Arabidopsis thaliana: one gene and its partners. The protein of the gene in region 2 interacts with the protein of the main gene of each other region in a pairwise test. Each region holds a gene or a part of one and is shown on either strand. Other genes may lie near its edges.

The links.
Region 1: the proteins of NRPB6A (region 2) and MYB13 interact in binary tests that used the Arabidopsis thaliana proteins (3 or more experiments, as listed by UniProt).
Region 3: the proteins of NRPB6A (region 2) and HSL1 interact in binary tests that used the Arabidopsis thaliana proteins (3 or more experiments, as listed by UniProt).

Annotation. Positions count from the first base shown.
Region 1 is NC_003070.9:1,887,643-1,892,226, reverse strand, and holds MYB13 (myb domain protein 13), read right to left. Parts: upstream 2,866-4,584; 5' UTR 2,718-2,865; coding exon 2,585-2,717; intron 2,431-2,584; coding exon 2,301-2,430; intron 1,616-2,300; coding exon 1,138-1,615; 3' UTR 951-1,137; downstream 1-950. UniProt on the Arabidopsis thaliana protein: Plays a regulatory role in meristem function. Functions as component of a regulatory network controlling the establishment and/or development of the shoot system by the regulation of apical meristem function. May play a role in tolerance to boric acid.
Region 2 is NC_003076.8:21,102,121-21,106,524, reverse strand, and holds NRPB6A (RNA polymerase Rpb6), read right to left. Parts: upstream 1,975-4,404; 5' UTR 1,847-1,974; coding exon 1,809-1,846; intron 1,487-1,808; coding exon 1,453-1,486; intron 1,361-1,452; coding exon 1,188-1,360; intron 1,100-1,187; coding exon 1,048-1,099; intron 953-1,047; coding exon 885-952; intron 799-884; coding exon 729-798; 3' UTR 578-728; downstream 1-577. Other genes in the region: AT5G51950 (Glucose-methanol-choline (GMC) oxidoreductase family protein), read left to right, coding at 1-281, 369-432; AT5G51930 (Glucose-methanol-choline (GMC) oxidoreductase family protein), read right to left, coding at 2,957-3,517, 3,600-3,982.
Region 3 is NC_003075.7:15,477,299-15,485,778, reverse strand, and holds HSL1 (HSI2-like 1), read right to left. Parts: upstream 6,401-8,480; 5' UTR 5,967-6,400; intron 5,606-5,966; 5' UTR 5,545-5,605; intron 5,285-5,544; exon of another isoform or gene 5,138-5,284; 5' UTR 4,991-5,137; intron 4,798-4,990; 5' UTR 4,732-4,797; intron 4,655-4,731; 5' UTR 4,549-4,654; coding exon 4,430-4,548; intron 4,247-4,429; coding exon 4,165-4,246; intron 4,077-4,164; coding exon 3,975-4,076; intron 3,879-3,974; coding exon 3,352-3,878; intron 3,263-3,351; coding exon 3,166-3,262; intron 3,073-3,165; coding exon 2,898-3,072; intron 2,710-2,897; coding exon 2,633-2,709; intron 2,497-2,632; coding exon 2,179-2,496; intron 2,092-2,178; coding exon 2,042-2,091; intron 1,918-2,041; coding exon 1,804-1,917; intron 1,640-1,803; coding exon 1,572-1,639; intron 1,496-1,571; coding exon 882-1,495; 3' UTR 425-881; downstream 1-424. UniProt on the Arabidopsis thaliana protein: Transcriptional repressor of gene expression involved in embryonic pathways, such as LEC1, ABI3, and FUS3. Repressor of the sugar-inducible genes involved in the seed maturation program in seedlings.

The DNA of each region.
Region 1 (4,584 bases), on a different chromosome or scaffold from region 2:
AAAAGAGTCTATAATATAGGTCACTCAAATCTCTCAAGTAGCAGCTACAAATGCTCTGAGACTCTAAAGGTGTAGTGTTTGCATGTTGTTGAAGCTCATCAGGAATGGTATTAGAGTAGCTAAACCGCTTCTTTGGTTCGGAAACTTACTCCAAGGCTTTATCAAAAATGTAATTGGGTTCGGCTGGCTGATTGAATGTGGGTCCAGACCTAGCCAGGGTACTTGATAAAAATCATCACCACTCTCTGGTTTAGTTGTCACTTGTCAACCACGTTTTTTACATTTTGTGCTTCTCATTGGTTGAGGACCATTATTTGGCTTAGTTTAGTTTAGTTTAGTTTAGTTTAGTTGATGGTGATGAATTTATTATAACTTATATTGGATTCATCGCTGGATCATCGATAATACCAATGGTGCTTCTTAGGTAATGGTTTTTTTTTTTTTAAGATATATCGGTTTAAATTTATTAGCTAAGAACCAGTATCTGTAAAATCAAGATCGCGCACTACAAGAAATTGCTACGGCCAAACAAAACCAATTTCTGACGAGCATTCACATCTTCTCTTCTTTTTAAATTTTGGGCTTAGAAACCACAATTGCTTCCATGCATGGAGCAATTGAGGATCACATTAATACATTAGTTTGAGAACTCCAAATCTATTAGGACCGGAAAACCATAGCATAATCACTTTTTTTTGTGCGAAAAACCATAGCATAATCACATGGCTACTTAAATACTATATTTTTTGTCGGTTAGCCATTACTGTTCTGTTAGTGAATTATAAGAGTTTTAAATGTGATTTATATAGTAAATTCATTGTGCATAGAAAAAAAGGGAATATGCGACTACCATTAGAACAACAACATAGACTTTCTTTAATCTAGCCATCCACTAAACAAGTTACAGTACAAGACATCACCATAGATTTAAAATTACATTAAAAGGGAGAGAAAAAAGAAATCATAATATATGTATGTATAACATGATACGAACATTTAGCATATGTCCTGATCTGTATTTTAACTAACCAAAAGTAATAGAACGATAAATAGAAAGAGGACTAATATAGGAAACGTAAACGACTTTTATTCATGTGGGTCACAAAGGAAGATATATAAGTCTTTAACTAAAACAAATCAAAACTCAGAAATGTCGGACATTTCTCCAATTATACAACTACTACTAGTGAGATGGTCAAACCAAAACTCCATGTCATGGTTATATCCCTTATCGTTTCTATCTAGTGAGCCCTCCCAATTCTCTATCTTTTTCTCATTCTTCTCATTTCCTGAAATGTCACAGTCCATCAATACCACTTCTGACCAAAAGCTCTCATCTATAATTGCAAGAACATCTTCGGATGACGTCGCGGAGTCTTTGTTGCTATTGGAGATGTCATTGTTGTTTCCCAATGTTGTAATTGCTGAAATGTCGGCACTACTACTAGATTGTTGTTGCGGAGAGGTTGGCATCTCCGCAGCTGTAGTAGAGACGAAATCTTCCTTGTTGTTTTGATCTTGACTGTGGTGGAGTCTTTTCTTTAAATGAGTGTGCCAAACATTTTTAATTTCGTTGTCTGTTCGTCCAGGCAATTTTGCAGCTATCGCAGACCATCTACTCAAAACAAATGTCACATGAATGACTCATCAATCATCATAATACGTCGTCTACATTGTTATGAGAACAAAGAGCGAGTAAAACAAAAGGAAAGTTATTGAAGTTCATGCGTATGGTTAAAAGAATTTGCACATGTCTTACACTGATCACAGTGCCTATCTTTGTCTACTAGTGAATAAAAAGTATAATTAGAGGAAAGTAAAAAATTGAAATTATTTAATGGACAAAGGCAATCACGGGTTGGAATCTTCTCAGTTCTCTGCCCCACAAAGATATAAAATTTCGCATATTGACAAAAGCAACACATATACAAAGAGAAAATTGTGAAGTAATCTAGCTAGCTAGTCTCCACAGTTAAAACAAACTAAACTTCCAAAATAATGATACTTTTCACAATTTGATGTCCCAAAATCCTTCATCTACAAATGAACATTATATCATTTTCACTGTAATATATATGGAGTTATGGACTAAACAGAAATTGCATTGACTTACTTTAAAAGAAAGAAAAAAACTTGTGATTTGACTTCTCAAAGATTAAAAATAAAGAAAAATTTGTGAGTGATTTCTCAAATTCTTGTTTAATTTCTGGTTTCAAAGAATATAGGACCAAAAAATCTAAAATTTCGCATATAATCAAAGGAAGAAGTAAAAAAACAGAAAATGGAAAAGGAGGAGAAACCTGTTGCCTAAGAGTTGATGTAAGCTGATGATAGTATCTTCTTCATGAGGAGTGAAATTGCCACGTTTGATGTCTGGTCTCAAATAATTAATCCAACGAAGCCTGCAACTTTTTCCGCACCGAAGTAGCCCTAATCATTTCACAAACACCATTATTAACTTTACACAACAAATATACACTACTATATACTATAGAACAATAATACACATGCTAGCTAGGTACAAAATTATTTTGTTACTAATATATACATATGGCAAATAGCAAATATAAAATGGCTTATTTACCGGCTAGTTTAGGGAGAGCTCTCCAATTGGGATGGCCATGGAGACTAATATAATTGATCAAGATTCGATCTTCTTCAGCACTCCATGGCCCTTTCTTCAATCCTATCTTCTCACAGCATGGTCTTCTCCCCATCTTTTTCTTCCTTGTCAAAAACTAATTTAAACGAGGAGAGAAAGAAGAAATGGAAGAAGCTAAGGTTTCTATTCGTGAAAGCAAAGGAAGCCAAATGTTGGAAGTAACTAGTAAGTGTACGATGGCTAAGTGTGTTACTATATTTATAGAGAGAGATATAATTAATTGGGACCGTAGGAAAATGACAAGCTGGAAATTATTTTTCTACTTTTGGTACACAAAGGCCAAAGTTTTCCCAACTTCTTTTCCTTTACCTTTTTCAAAGAATAGTTATCTTAATTTTTTCATAAGTCTTACCGAGGAAATGCTAAGGCCACGATCTATCAGCTATTGTGATGATTTGATTTTAATAAGCAATGAAGGTGAATTTAGTTTTGTAGTAACGGTATGCGATTATCAATGAGTGTCGAGTGGTTTAGTGTAAACTGATATGACTTGTATATATAACTAGATCATGGAACTAATAGTATAGAGAAACTTTATACAAATAGTTGACAATGTTATACTTCAAACCACACGAATACCTGACAACTACAGAGCACGGCTGTGATTGAGACTATTCATTTATATAACCATAAATGTGTACGAGTAACAGCCACATATTTTTATGTTTTACATCAAATATATGTAAGCTTCAATCTGACCGTAGTTTAAAATTCAATAGAATGGCTAAGACACAAAATTTGAAATTTTATATCGAACACTAGGTTTAATCTTATCACACTTCCCATGAGGGACGCATACCATAAATTTATCAAATAATGGACCACACCAAGAATTATACTAGCAATGTTATCATCGACACATCTCATTTTATAATCGATGACTCGGCTTCACGGCTGTGTAGGCATCGCCATCGCCACACATTCCTTTCGCTCACCGGGTCTTATTCTTTTTCTCAAGATTTTCGTAATCTGAATAAAAAAATAAAAATAAAAACTTCACGAGGATAGAAAATGAAAAGAGAAAACATACAATCTATATAATCTTTCCAAGTGGCCGAAGAAAAGGGTGATGAATCCTCTCGTCAATAAGATCAGTAGGCCCAAAAGAGATATTTCAAATTGAGTCGCATCTGTCGGGTAAGTTAAAGCAATAAATAACCAGCCACAGGTAGGGTTTAGGCCCTCTCATCTGGCTCTAGATGACGAAACGTGTTAAAACGCCTACTTCTTGTTGAGGCCCAAAATAAGCCTCATAGGAGAGAAACCAAAAACGTAACTGTCACGATTACGAAACACCCCTTAATTCCATTTTGCAAATGCATCCCCTCCTCACCTTTGTTTGAGATGTTTTTATATACAGCTCAGCTCGATAACCTAACTCGACACCCTCTAAACAAAAAGTTACAAAACGAATATAATAATGTCTTCGGCTGATCCGGTTTAACTGAATCCCAATTCCCAAATTGTAACATACATAACATGAACTTAACCGGACAAAACTGGTTAGCAGAAATTTTCAAGTGAGTTTACGGAAACACCCTTTTCCGCATAGCTTTTGTGTCACGTGGGACCCAGCTAATATTCTTCACAAAAAATCCGCTACCTTGCCTTGGAAACATATTTTGCATGACCCAACAAACATGAAATTAAGAAATACTTTACTTTACAAGGAAATAATACAAATAAAGCCTTTTTATCTTATTTATAATATCATCGATCATTGTATATCAGAATTCAGAAGTCCTAGATAAAATGTTAAAAGTTGAATCTTGTTTGACCTAATAGAAAAGATTCCACTGACAAATTTCTATGTCTATGACTATGATCAATTTTATTTCCTCTATATGTAAAAAAAAACTCAACTTCACATAATATTTTTTGAATGTATCGTTTCTTATTTATTTTTTAAAAAACTCTGCTAT
Region 2 (4,404 bases):
TTCAAGTACCCGGACGCGACCATACATGGACTACTCGATCTAATGCTAAGCGTTCCTACCAATCTGAGGCCGCGGCATATAACCTCGATGTTCAATTTAAGGCAGTTTTGCATTGACACTGTGATGACAATTTGGCACTACCATGGAGGTTGCCAAGTTGGAAGAGTGGTTGACAAGAATTACAGAGTCTTAGGCATTGATTCCTTAAGGGTCATCGATGGATCCACATTTCTCAAGTCTCCGGGGACTAATCCTCAAGCTACTGTTATGATGCTCGGAAGGTAAATGCATAAACCAAATGATCCAAATAATCTAAAACATGTTAATGATTTGATTAAGAACTGATTGTGTCAGAGTGTTTTGTGTAGGTATATGGGCCAAAGGATTCTTCAAGAGAGGGAGATATACAACAAACCGGATAAAGAAGCGTGAGATATTACTTGTTTTGAGAAAATCTTGATCTTGGAATTGTTTTAATCAATGTATGATTAACTTAAAGAGTATGAATGTGTACATCTGTTCATGTTCTGTTTCTAATATGTATAATAATGGTGGAATTATGGTACTTGGGGCTTCTAGTTTTGCAGAATTTCGGAATATGAGTCTAGTATTATCCATAAGTTTCACTGATTTTTAGTTCCATTACAACATCAGAAAATTTATCATCCATAAGAGAGGAAAGCTTGCAAGTTACATACGTATTTGTCGATTTGTCTCTGGTCAGATTATCAATCACCACCAACTTGACGTTTCCATGAGTCTTCCACGATCAGTTCATCAACTCCCCATTCCTCGAAACTGTTTCAGGAATCATAAGTAAGTCACAAGAAAAGAAGAGATCAAGTGAGTGAAGAGAATAATATAAGCTCAATGCAATCTCTCACCTCCCATCAGGTAGATAGCGTCTAATAGTGAATGGTATCTTCCGCTGCCTAAGCTCCTTCATCGCAATCTGAATCCAAATCATAATAAATTAGCTCAAATGTTCATATAAGTTTACTGAGACATAACTTCAAAAACCAACAACAAGAAGGTAGGTAAGCACACCTCAAGTGGATCAGTCTCACCCTCTAGCTCAACCATGACAGGAGCATTCATGCTGTATCAGCCAAAAAACAACATTAAGACTCAAACTTTTCAAGCCAATTTAACATTAAAAAGATTGTTCTCAGTAGCAAGAACCATACCTAATCTGCAAAGCGCGAGTGCCGAGGATACGAGCACGCTCATACTTGGTCATAAACTTTGACGTTTTGCGTGGACGTTGCACAGGTTCTGTTTCGACTTTATCTTCAGCTTCAATAGGCTCACCATTGACATCATCATTCTCCTTCATTTCAACATCTTCCTCTACTCCTTCCTACACAAGAAAAAAAAAACCAATCAGAAACCGAAAGTTGTATAATAAGCAATAACCATGTCTCTTATACAAAGAAAAAATATTGAACTTACTTCAATCTCAGGCTCTGCTGGCTCATCCTCATATCTGCAATAGCCCAAATTTTCTTCAATTTACTCACAAGTTTCACTAGAAAAGCTCATAGAGTTTTAAAAAATAGCTTTTTCTCAATGAAATTAGGGTTTCTACTTTCTACCTTAAAATCGATTAGAATCAGTACTATACCGAACAAAATCGAAGCAACGTTTCATCGAAGAAACCCATCTATAAAAACTGCTAATTTAGACATTAACTAATCCAATTTACTCTAAATCGATTACGAATTCGTCGAGAAGAAGATAGAATCTTTTGAAATCCGAGCACGAATAATGAATAGATATGAAACCGAGAGAGAGGAAGAGAGAATAACCCCAAGTCATCGACGTCGTTGTAATCTTCGTCAGCCATTAATGTCGATTTTTGGTTTCGCTTTCTCCTTCTCTTTGCTCTGTATAAACCCTAACTCTCGTTGCAGAGTTCCGAACGACGCAGAATGAATCAATGAAGTTAAGAACTGAATAAAATTTAAATGATCCAGTTTATTTAACTATGCTTAGTAAACTTTATAATCGGACCATTTAATTTCAAGCCCAATTTAGGCCCACATAAGAATAACTCCACAACTGAATCAAATTTCCTTCTTTATTCCAAATAATCATGGAACATGTGATATATACTGATTATGTTAGAATTTTCTTTTCTTTGGACGATGATCACATATTCATATACTTGTCTGGTCTCATCTTTAGTTGGAGAAACGATCGAATAATCATAGAAAATACTTCTCGAAAAGCAACTCTCTCTCTCGAAGAATCCTTTGCCCCATGTACACCTACACATAACACTCAAGTCTCAACAAGACAATCACAACTCGAAGAATCATATGATCATTAAGTATGAGCGTTTTACCTTCCGAGCATCATGACCGTGGCTCGATGATTAGTCTCCGGAGACTTGAGAAATGTGGATCCATATCAATGGCCATTAAGGCATCAATACCTAAAACTTTGTAATTCTTGTCGACCAACTTGACAACCTCCATGGTAATGCCATATAGTCATCACAATGTGGATGCAAAACTGCGTCAAGTTGGACTTCGAGGACGCGTGTCATTTTAAGGTTTTAATTTTGTTTCACAAAAATTGTCATTTTTGTGTTTTCAATGGAATATTTAAAACCAAATCTCTTTTTTTTTTTTTTATCTCTATTATTTCACTTTATCATTTAGAAAGAGAAAGTATTATCTAGTGTATTAGTAACGGGTAGAAATAAAATTTGTTTACTTTTCTTCATTTGTGTGAAAATGTTAGAAGACAATAACACAACAAGTAATAATAGATGAGAAAACTTTTGTCTACTCTCTATTAAGAACCTTAGGCTTTTTGTTACTTTTCGTGGAAAGCCGCTCTTTGCCGAATAATTTCCTGCCCCATGTACCTACACATAGCACTTTCACAATGATTTTTATTCAAACATCATATCTTATTTATTGATGTTGTGATTATTTAGTTTTTGTGCTTACCTTCCAAGCATCATGACCGTGGCTTGAGGATTAGTCCCGGGAGACTTGAGAAATGTGGATCCATCGATGACCCTTAAGCCATCTATGCCTAAGACTTTGTAATTCTTGTCAACCACTTTTCCAACTTGGCAACCTCCATGGTAATGCCAAACACTCGTCACGGTGTCGATGCAAAACTGCTTCAAGTTGAACGCTGAGGTCACGTGCCTTGGCCTCAAATTGATGGGAAGGGCCAACATGAGATTGAGCAGTTCACGTGCCGTCACACCCGGATACTTGTACTTGGAGAAAGCTTTGGAATTTATCATTCTAATAATGGTGTTAAGCCCTTTAACACACTTGTTCAAATCCTCTGGTTCTTGATAGTAGTTGAATGTCACTGAAGGATTATCCCTTGGGTTCGTGTTCCGTAGCTTCATATGTCCTTTTGAGGCCGGTCCATCGACTTTTTGAAAGATCAAACCCCCATTCATCCTCACTTCCAATTTAACATCAAAAGATTTTAAAAGGACTGCAATGGATTGGGTCAGGATTTTCCTAGATGTAGTATGACTTGTCTGCATAATGCGTCATAGTTAGACAACATACAATCTCATAAGTCATAACTAAATAACCTTTAAATGTATTTATGTTATATACCTCGTTTAAAAGATTCAAAACACCATCGAAAAACCTACGAGTTATATCAAAAGAGAGACTCAAGCCACTTAGACCTTCAATGTAACTATCAAACTTTGTGATCCCAACAGCTTGTATGAGGGATAGTTCTACTGGTTGAGGAGAAGGAATGGCTACAAAGTTCATGGGATTATCAGCCATCCCCTGCCCAACCATGGGCTGATCTAGGACGAGTGGGTTCACGCCGTGAGCCTCAAGATGGACGGCAGGACCTACTCCACTCAACATTAATAGTTGTGGGCTACCCAGGGCTCCAGCTGACAAGATCACTTCGTTCGTTGCCTTATTTGCTAGATTTGCCTTGTGGAACACTCCATTTGCATCCTCAAATAGCACTTCATACGCTTTTGGCTTCTAGTTACCTGTTTTTTTTTTTAATGTTCATTTTTGCAGCAAGTAGTTTTAGCAAACAATCATTCATAAAGTAAAAATCATATACTAATTGAAACTAAAATATATATTTTTAATTTCTATATTCTTCAAAATTATATTAATTGAATTTGTCAATATACTTTCTTATGTAGAATTGAAAAACTAATAAGTTTAAAAAAAAAATTAGAAAAGTAAGAAACTTTTAAAGTACACACAATTAAAATAAAACATATAAAAGTCATTTAGGAAAGTGGGCTCACTCCATAATTCCTAATGACCAGCTCATGAGGTTATAAATAAGTATTCCTTTTTAAAAAGTCAATGCATTAGATTTTACACTAATAATGCTAGCTCGATTTTATAAAAAAAAAGATAGCACAAAATACCATTTTTT
Region 3 (8,480 bases), on a different chromosome or scaffold from region 2:
TCAGAATTCAGACACGAACAAACGAGTTGACCTCAGGTCTTAACTTCTTTGATACTGTATGTTATCATAACAGAGACATAGAAAGAAGCAAAAACAAGCAACAAACATGCTTCTTCATCTAAATTTATATCAATTTCTGACTCAAATTCTGAAACTAATACTGTATTATCGCTAATGTTTAGAACTCGAGACAAATTGGATATACCAAACGGTTTTTTATATTTTTAGGATTTGGATGAGTGATAGCTTATCATATGGCTCTATTTTTAGGAGTTTAGTTGAGTGATAAGTGATAACTCTTATTATTACACTGACACGATCAACACTTCTAACATCGACCGAGCTATAGCCGATTTATTTGCTTCCATGTAACTGATTGTGTGTCTTCATACCATAAGTTTATCACCAAATCAAAATAATAGGATCTCGCGTAACCAATTTCTCTAATTTAAGTAAATCATAAATTTCATAAACAAACTTGAAAATAATAAAAATTATGTACAGGTTCGAATTTTGAAACTTAAGATTGCGATAGATAGGCGTACAAATTTGAAGCTCCACCTCCAGAACCGATTCTCTTCTTAGAAGCTTCATCCATTTCCATATTAGATATAACTATTAAGTTAGTGTCCTATGTATTTTCAAAAACCTCATCAAATCTATTTGTCTCTCTCTCTCAAGCCTCAACTCACCACACACCAAACCAAAACACCAGAAACAAAAAGAAAAGCAAACTACAAATTCCTCATTTCTTCGATCGACAATTGGTAGAATGGTCGTAACCACTCAACCAATTTGAGACGAAACCGAAGACATTTTTTGTGTAAATAAGAAACACATACCACTGAAGAATAAATACTCATGGAGAATTCCAAAGCTGTTTAGTTCACAGGATCATGAGCTCCATTTGTTGTGTCTTTCTCAGTTTCTTGTGCGGCTGAGGACGAACCGTGTTCTGTGCTGACCATATCACTGCTTTGCTGTTCTCCTGCTGTATTGGAAATAGCCTTTTGTTTCAGATATGCTTCCAGAGGAAACGCTGCAGCTTGGAGAAGCCTCATCATGCTTACTCGGGAAGCCCCCGGGTCTGAGTTCAAGTCGATGTTTTCCCCTGCGGCTAGTTCAACCGCTGGAATGCTCTCCACTTCTGTCTCGTCCCTGCACTCTGACTGTGACTGCGCCTGCTGGCTTGCCTGTCCTGCCTCTCCTTTGTTCCGCTTCCGCAGCATGAGCGTCCTGAATCGTCTCTTCACTGCCTCGCACACAGTGCAAGTGCATGACGGCTTGTGTTTGCCTTTTCCGCTCGGTGGTTGGCTGCAGACGATGCACGAACACCCTGCCCGGTGTCTTGGATGCTTGGTCGTGGCTGCAACCGTGATTTCCCCCTGTTCACCGGTTGTGGTGATGCCTGCATTTCCTAAACTATTCAGAGCAGATGCATCCTGCGACTGGTTTAGCTTTTCGTTTGATGATGCCAGTCTCCTCCTTTTGAACTCTGTTGAGACGAAAGTTTCGTTATGTAAAGAAGGAAGTTTCTAATTATACAGACCAATAATAGCTGCGGATTTTACCTTTGCTCTGCCGGACAAGTGTATCCTGTTCTCTTGGAGAGAGTTCATCAGGTGCGGAACATGAAGACCTGACGATATAAACAGCAACTCAAATTATTCAGATGGCCAGTCTCAGTGAGTCAAAAATCTATAATTATCCCATATGTGTAGTCTAAGTTATTTCGGAAAAAAATGCGCAATGTTCTGTGGTAACTAGCCTAGGTTAAACACATGAACATGCAACCTCGTTTACCTGCCAGGATCCAAGAGATTATCAGAGCACGACCACTTTGGTGGAAGAAGAATATCCACCGGCAGCTGTCGCCATTTCCCACAAGCATCACACTGCACCCATTGCTCTTGTTCCCTGAGAATTCATGGATCACATATCAGAACCAAATAATCAGATGTTCATTACTTCAAATCTTTCGATCATTCCAAGGGTGCTTAATTCTTCTGATCCTATCATTACATAGTACATGAGGCCTCACCCTGTTTGACGTGAGACAAAAAGGGTCCTCTTCCCGAAAACTGGTGGTTCCTGGGTAGCAGCAAATACATGATTTCAGAAAATACAGTGAAAAGTTCCCAGCTGTTTTTGATAACTAAACAGTTAACAGTAACTCACGTCATATTCTTCAAAATCTTGATTTTCCAGCGTAAAGATGCTGGGTTTGGTGGATTGGGGAGGCCGCAACAGCTCCTGTGCCTCCTCCCAAGTTATTTTCAGTTCCAGAACATCTACGCTATCAATGAGCAGACGCTTGCTCTTAGTCCCAATGTTCCGAACCCGTTTCCTAGCAGAAGTTAAGGACGACTGAAGAAATAAGTTATCCTTTGCCATGTCCTCAGACTTCTCTAGTTTAGACCAATTGATGTCACCACATCCCGGATTCAAGCTGTTGGAAAACATGTTCAGATTGGGTTCACTGCTTCCCTTGAACATCTGAAGAAACACGGAAAAATATTTCACTGAAAGAATCAGTACGAGAGCACCAGAAAAGGATTCTTTAATTCAATACACTTCACAGTGGCAGTTACTTATGCCTAAGGGGGCAACTCTCAGCTTATTATGCATTTACCTGTGTCGCTGTAGAGTTCGTCGCTTTACGGTATCCCATTACGAGTTTTCCTTCAGGTTCTGTACGGCTGAATGTTACTGCAGAGAACATGGAAAATCCAAGACATCAGACCTAATAGAAAAGTACGGTCATCTCTTCGTGGAATGTATTTCACTGTCCTCATGATTGGAACGCTTTAGTGCCAATGTTTCATTTATCCATACCAGGGTGGGTTTATCAATATGTTATGAATGTAGTTAACGAAACAAAAGGATTTGAAAAGTACCAGTGTCACCAGCTTGCAACTGCATGGACTGTATGCAAGGAGTCACACCCTCCAAAACGTACATCCTGCTGTTATTATTAGGCCAAAACCTGAACTGGAACACCCATTCTTTCCCTTTTATGTCTTGTATCTTTAACGGGAGACCCTCGGGTAGAGATATAGGGGGGAAATATGCCTACATAGAAGCATAGACGGTTATAGCTGATACCTGGCATTTAGATAGCAATAGTTTGGGAATATCAAATAAGCGTACAGAGAAACAAGTTACCTCTGCACATGCTTTCGGAAGAACCAGTCGACCAATACGACCCGCATCGCTCGCACTCAGAACTTTTTCAAAGAGTGGTATAATTTTGGAATTTGAGCTAGGAAAATAAACAGTCAAGGACTCCTTAGCACAGAAAAATAGTGCATAATGGTAGAATAAAAGCAGAAACACGATATTATAACATACAGATGAGGATACTGTCCAGATAATTGCAGCAGCTCTTGGTCAGTAATCCTAGGCCAGTAACGGGGAAGCAATTGGGTCTTCCCGCGACCTTCTGGAGGAGGCCGAGCGACATGAATCTGTGACACCAGGCTCCCACTAGGCTCCATGCCAGCAGCAATGGGAGCTGAATTTGCAGGTTTTGGAAGCAGCTGCCTGGACCGAGGGGCCAGTTGGAAAATCGAATTAGTCTTACTTCTGTCATCAACAGCAGCATCATGAAATGGGCTTGTCATAAGCGTAGGTCCAAGTGAAATGCTCAAGTTTGGCTGTGCAGACAATTCTTTCCTTTCAGTTTTGTGTCTAAGAGCATCTAGGCTGGAAGGAAGCAGCGATTCTTCTTGTTTCATTTGAAGAGAAGAATGAGTGGGGTCGATTCTTTGAAAGTGAAGCAAGTGCTTGAGATTTGTCCTCTCAAGAACACTGCCTACATGCTCTGCTGAAGCAAATGAGGGGAAGTCCTTACCGTTAGATTCATGGCTCACATTCATCTGTAAGAGAGATTACATGAGTATAGTGACAGAGAAACCAAGACCAAGGAAGCATCCCTTGCAAGAAGTTAACTCATGGAGAGGAAATTGTCTTACAGAAATTAGTCCGGATTTCTTGGCGCAACTTATACAGGTAACACCACCATTCTCTAGAAGCTCCATCATAAATCTAGAAGCAATGCATCCACAGTGAAGACGCTGAAAAAAACGTAAATACGTATTAAGGAAAACAATTGAAATACGTTGAGTGCAAAAACATGTGTAGTAAGCCATGGATTTTCGTCACCTTGTCACATGAATTACACTCTCTCCAACCAGATTCCTTGGCATGGAACACTTCACAGAATATGGATTGCTCGTATGCACACCTATCAAAAACCAACATTCACAGAGTTTACTAATAAGTAATCATGAAATATAGATTCCCTTCACGTACCCACTCTTGTTCTAATTGTAAGCAAACCCACAGCACTAATCTATCGCAGAAGTGTTGCGAATATCGAACTGGTCGCAAAAGTATTCAAATTAGACACAAGAGTGAAGGCCCTTACCCACACTTATCGCAGAGAGAAGCTAAATCACCGGATCGCATAGGCCAGCCTTTTTTCCACTCGCCCGACGTAGAGGCCGCTCCGCACAGTGCGTTCATGCAAACCTTTATTGACTCCATAATTGACCAATTGAGCGGCTCGATTCAACTGTCAATAACTTCAAATGAAGCAAGAGCCTTATCGTATTCTCCGCACGATGGTGCTTTAATCCACCGCAACTTTCCTCTTTAATAAAGGCACAAGCATTAAAAATATGCAATGATTAAGAAAACTAATTGGTATCAGAAAAGTTAAACACTTACCAGAAAAGGCAGAAGAAGATGTCAAATATATTGTCGAGAAACTCAATACGCTCCTTCTGTGAAAGACTATATACAAATAAAAACATATAAGATGACGATATATAGAAGAAGATACCAACTGTTATAAAGTAATCAAAATCCGTAAATGAATGAATAGTTAAGGACATTTGATATTGACATCTAAAGATAAGATATCATTGCATCCTAAGGAAAAAAAAACGAAATTAAAGTTCACAAGAGACAAAGAAAATCAACAGACCTTTCGAAGAAACTTGTCCAAAAAAGAGAAACCACGAGTCACTTCCATCTCCTCAGTTTTCAACCAAACCAATTCTAAGCTTAGACATGTCCACACGAAACTTCTCAGTGGTGCAGTGGAGATGGAGCCTCTTAAATAATTGTGCCACTGTGATAAAAACGCACCATCGAAAAGTTGACTGATGAATGTATGGAAGTCCAAGAAGTCTACAATAGTGATAATGAGAATAATATCTTGACTGTGAAAAAGGATGAATTGATTCTGTAGACAAAACTAAGTGCAAACCTTAAATAGTCAAATTATTCAATTGAACGGAAATGATCCATCACCTATCTGAGCTACAGTAGGCTAACAACGATTCCACTACCTAGGCACAATTTCAAGGAAGATATAATTCTTATTAAACCGCTAAATAATCCAAAAACTTGCGAGTCAGCAAGATCTAATCTGAGGATACACATAACTTTTAATGCTATTGAAAGAAGAATATAGACTTGAAGAAAAAAATGTAATAAGCAGCTACATTAAGTAAACAAGTAAACTAAATGTAATACCTTAACAGAGATGACAGAAATGTATGCAGGTTTGTCTCCAGTAACAGGAGAAGATATTTGGCTGCAATTGGAAAATACAAAAATTAGGTGAATAACATGACATATTTGGCTGCAATTGGAAATTCATAAAGAACCAAGGACGACACTTTCTTAAGAAGCAATAAAATGATATATAAATCGAACTAGTTTCATTCTTCTTCAAATCTTTCAACTTTGGTTGACCCAAAAAACCACTGATTTCCAAGTAAAGCTTATAACTTTGTAAAAACACTGATGTAAAGGTTCAATTTTTACAATCCTAATTCCGAAATCTACGGTCTTTGAACAAAAAAAAACATGCATAAATCACCAAGTTTCTGAACACTAATGGCCGAGCAAGTAAATTTATCAGAGCATAATCACCGGAGAGGGTTAACCCTTACCTTGGTTTGTGTGGAGAGAGAGCCGATTGATTCGATCGGAAGAGAAGGGATAGTTTTCGACGGAGAAGTGAAGTTAAAAACCAAGTCAAAGTCGTCTTTACGTCGACCAAGTGAAGAAGATTTGAGCCAATTCAATTGCAGCAACAAGAGGTAGTGGCAAAGAGATTTAGAAATAACGAAGGAGTTGATGAATTGGTTTCTAAATAAAGAAGAAGAAGCCACAATGACTTAGAGCGAAAATCTCCATTACCAACAACAACAAAGGGCTCGTGGAGAAGACAACAAATCTGGAGCGTTAGATTACAAAAAAAAAAAAAATGAAACACAAAGAAACTGCTGACGTCAGCCTGACCTAAAACCCAGTATGCTTTATTTATTTATTATGGATGAGAGAATAATGTAAAGTTTACTCAAAGTGTGACATTTTATGTAATAAGATATTAATTAAAGTGCACGCAAAAGGTCATCTCTGTTTCGACCTCACCTAAGGTTTGCTTCTAGATTTATATACGTCTAAATTAGTATTTTGATTTCGATAATAATATTATTTAGTAAAGCATTGAATTTGAGAATGATGAAGTGGCTTGGTTTCTAGGGTTATAAGACAGGAACCCACGACGACCATCACCAACACATCAGCAGATCAGCTACTAGGTCCAACTCCAACTCTTTATTTTTGTTGGTTCAACAATTTACTGCAAAAGACTTAAAAAAATGTAGCCCAAATAATCATGTCAGGATAATGGACCGAAGATTGGTTGATGGGCCGTTTTAGATCAAAAAAATCATTCCACCTTTGGAAAAGATCTCTTTAGCATATTACTTTAAGGTTTGTTGCAAATGAAAAATAGTTGGAAAATATTTTAGACCCTTAAAAGTCTTATCCGATAGGTAAAGTATTTAAATCAGTTCATGGGTTGAGTTTCATAATTGAAACTAGGCATAGATTGGCCCTTTCCTTTCTCTTTAATAAATACTCGATTCATCCCTTTCTACTGTCTGTCTCAATATCTGTACATACCATTCATTGTAGCAATCACTATACGTACATGTTAATGTCTATGAAGTATGAACAATAATAAGAATTGGGTAAGAGAGTTATATATGTTGTTGATAAACAACAGTGAATTCAAAACTATATAATTTAGAGAGGGTTTGTATATCCCTTTTTTTCCTCTGTATGAGTAATGTGAGAACCAATTATTCGTTTATAGATGAATAATAAATTATCTTTCTGTTTATCGTACCGAGTTACCTACCATATTGCTTAGACTGGAAATGCTTTGTTGGTAAAAAGACATGATTGGTTGAAAAATAGATAAAAGCATGAATGGGATTCAAAAACTAACGATAATTAGGAAACTGGATTACCATGGTTGGTAGGCTAAACCCTAGCTATTCTAATCGCTATTACATTCTCACCTACTTTGCATAGTCATTAAATTTGCATATCCACGAATTCGTACTAATAGTTTCGCAGAAAATACACATGCAATCTTATGAATATTGCTTGATTTATTTAAGAAACAAACTTGTATGCAATTATTGGTATATAAATCAGTTATAACCGAGCCATTTGTCAATATGACTTTGACACATGGGTAAGTCTAAACAACTAATTCATACTCTAGTTATCAATTGTCTCTTGTAAATAATTTAGTACGTATTTTTTTAGTTAGTCTTATAGATGAGTAAATCACCCTTTTTAAAATTATTAGATTTTCGGTTAAATGTTTTGGATTCTAAACTCAAAATTAATTAGCAATATGTGATGAAAACCCTTGTAGTTATGTAATTGCATGAAACAAAAATGATTTCAAATGTTATTCATATGTACTAGATCTTCAAACATTAACACATGAACTAACATTTTGGAATTACATCGATATTCATTTAATTGGATCCAAAAGGTTTCAACTTCTCGTTCTGTTATTAGTTTTTGTTTCCTCTTTTTTGTTTTCTATTTATTTTCACATGTTCTAGCTTCTTAATTCTAAGCTAACTTGAGTAGCCTAATAAACTTGTGTCACATGATGAGGACATTTCTCAAATGGAACATTCAGACATTTACACTCCCATACGTTGATATCATGTTATTTGCTATATTAGTCTAATATTGTTGCCTTTCAGATTTCACATATGAAATATTCCTTGTTGTAACCAAGAACCATCTCTGTGTATTTTTACAAGCATAAAATAGTAGTTGACAATATAAAAATAACTATCTGATGATGCAACTCTAGTTAATATATCACGAATCACTGACTCCTATATAATGTGTAGATATACTGTATATGTATCGACACCAATTTTACATACATTACCGAAGTATTGATTGGTTCTTTCATTTGATAAAAGAGAGCATATAATTTCACTTTAATCACACTCATTATACATTTGCGAAAGTCTTTCATTCACAACCGTCGTTGCGTTTAGTTTGCTAATACTTTATGTTAGTGCCCGTTGAGTTTCTAAAAGTGTAGAAGTTTTTGTTGTTTATTTATATAGACTCTA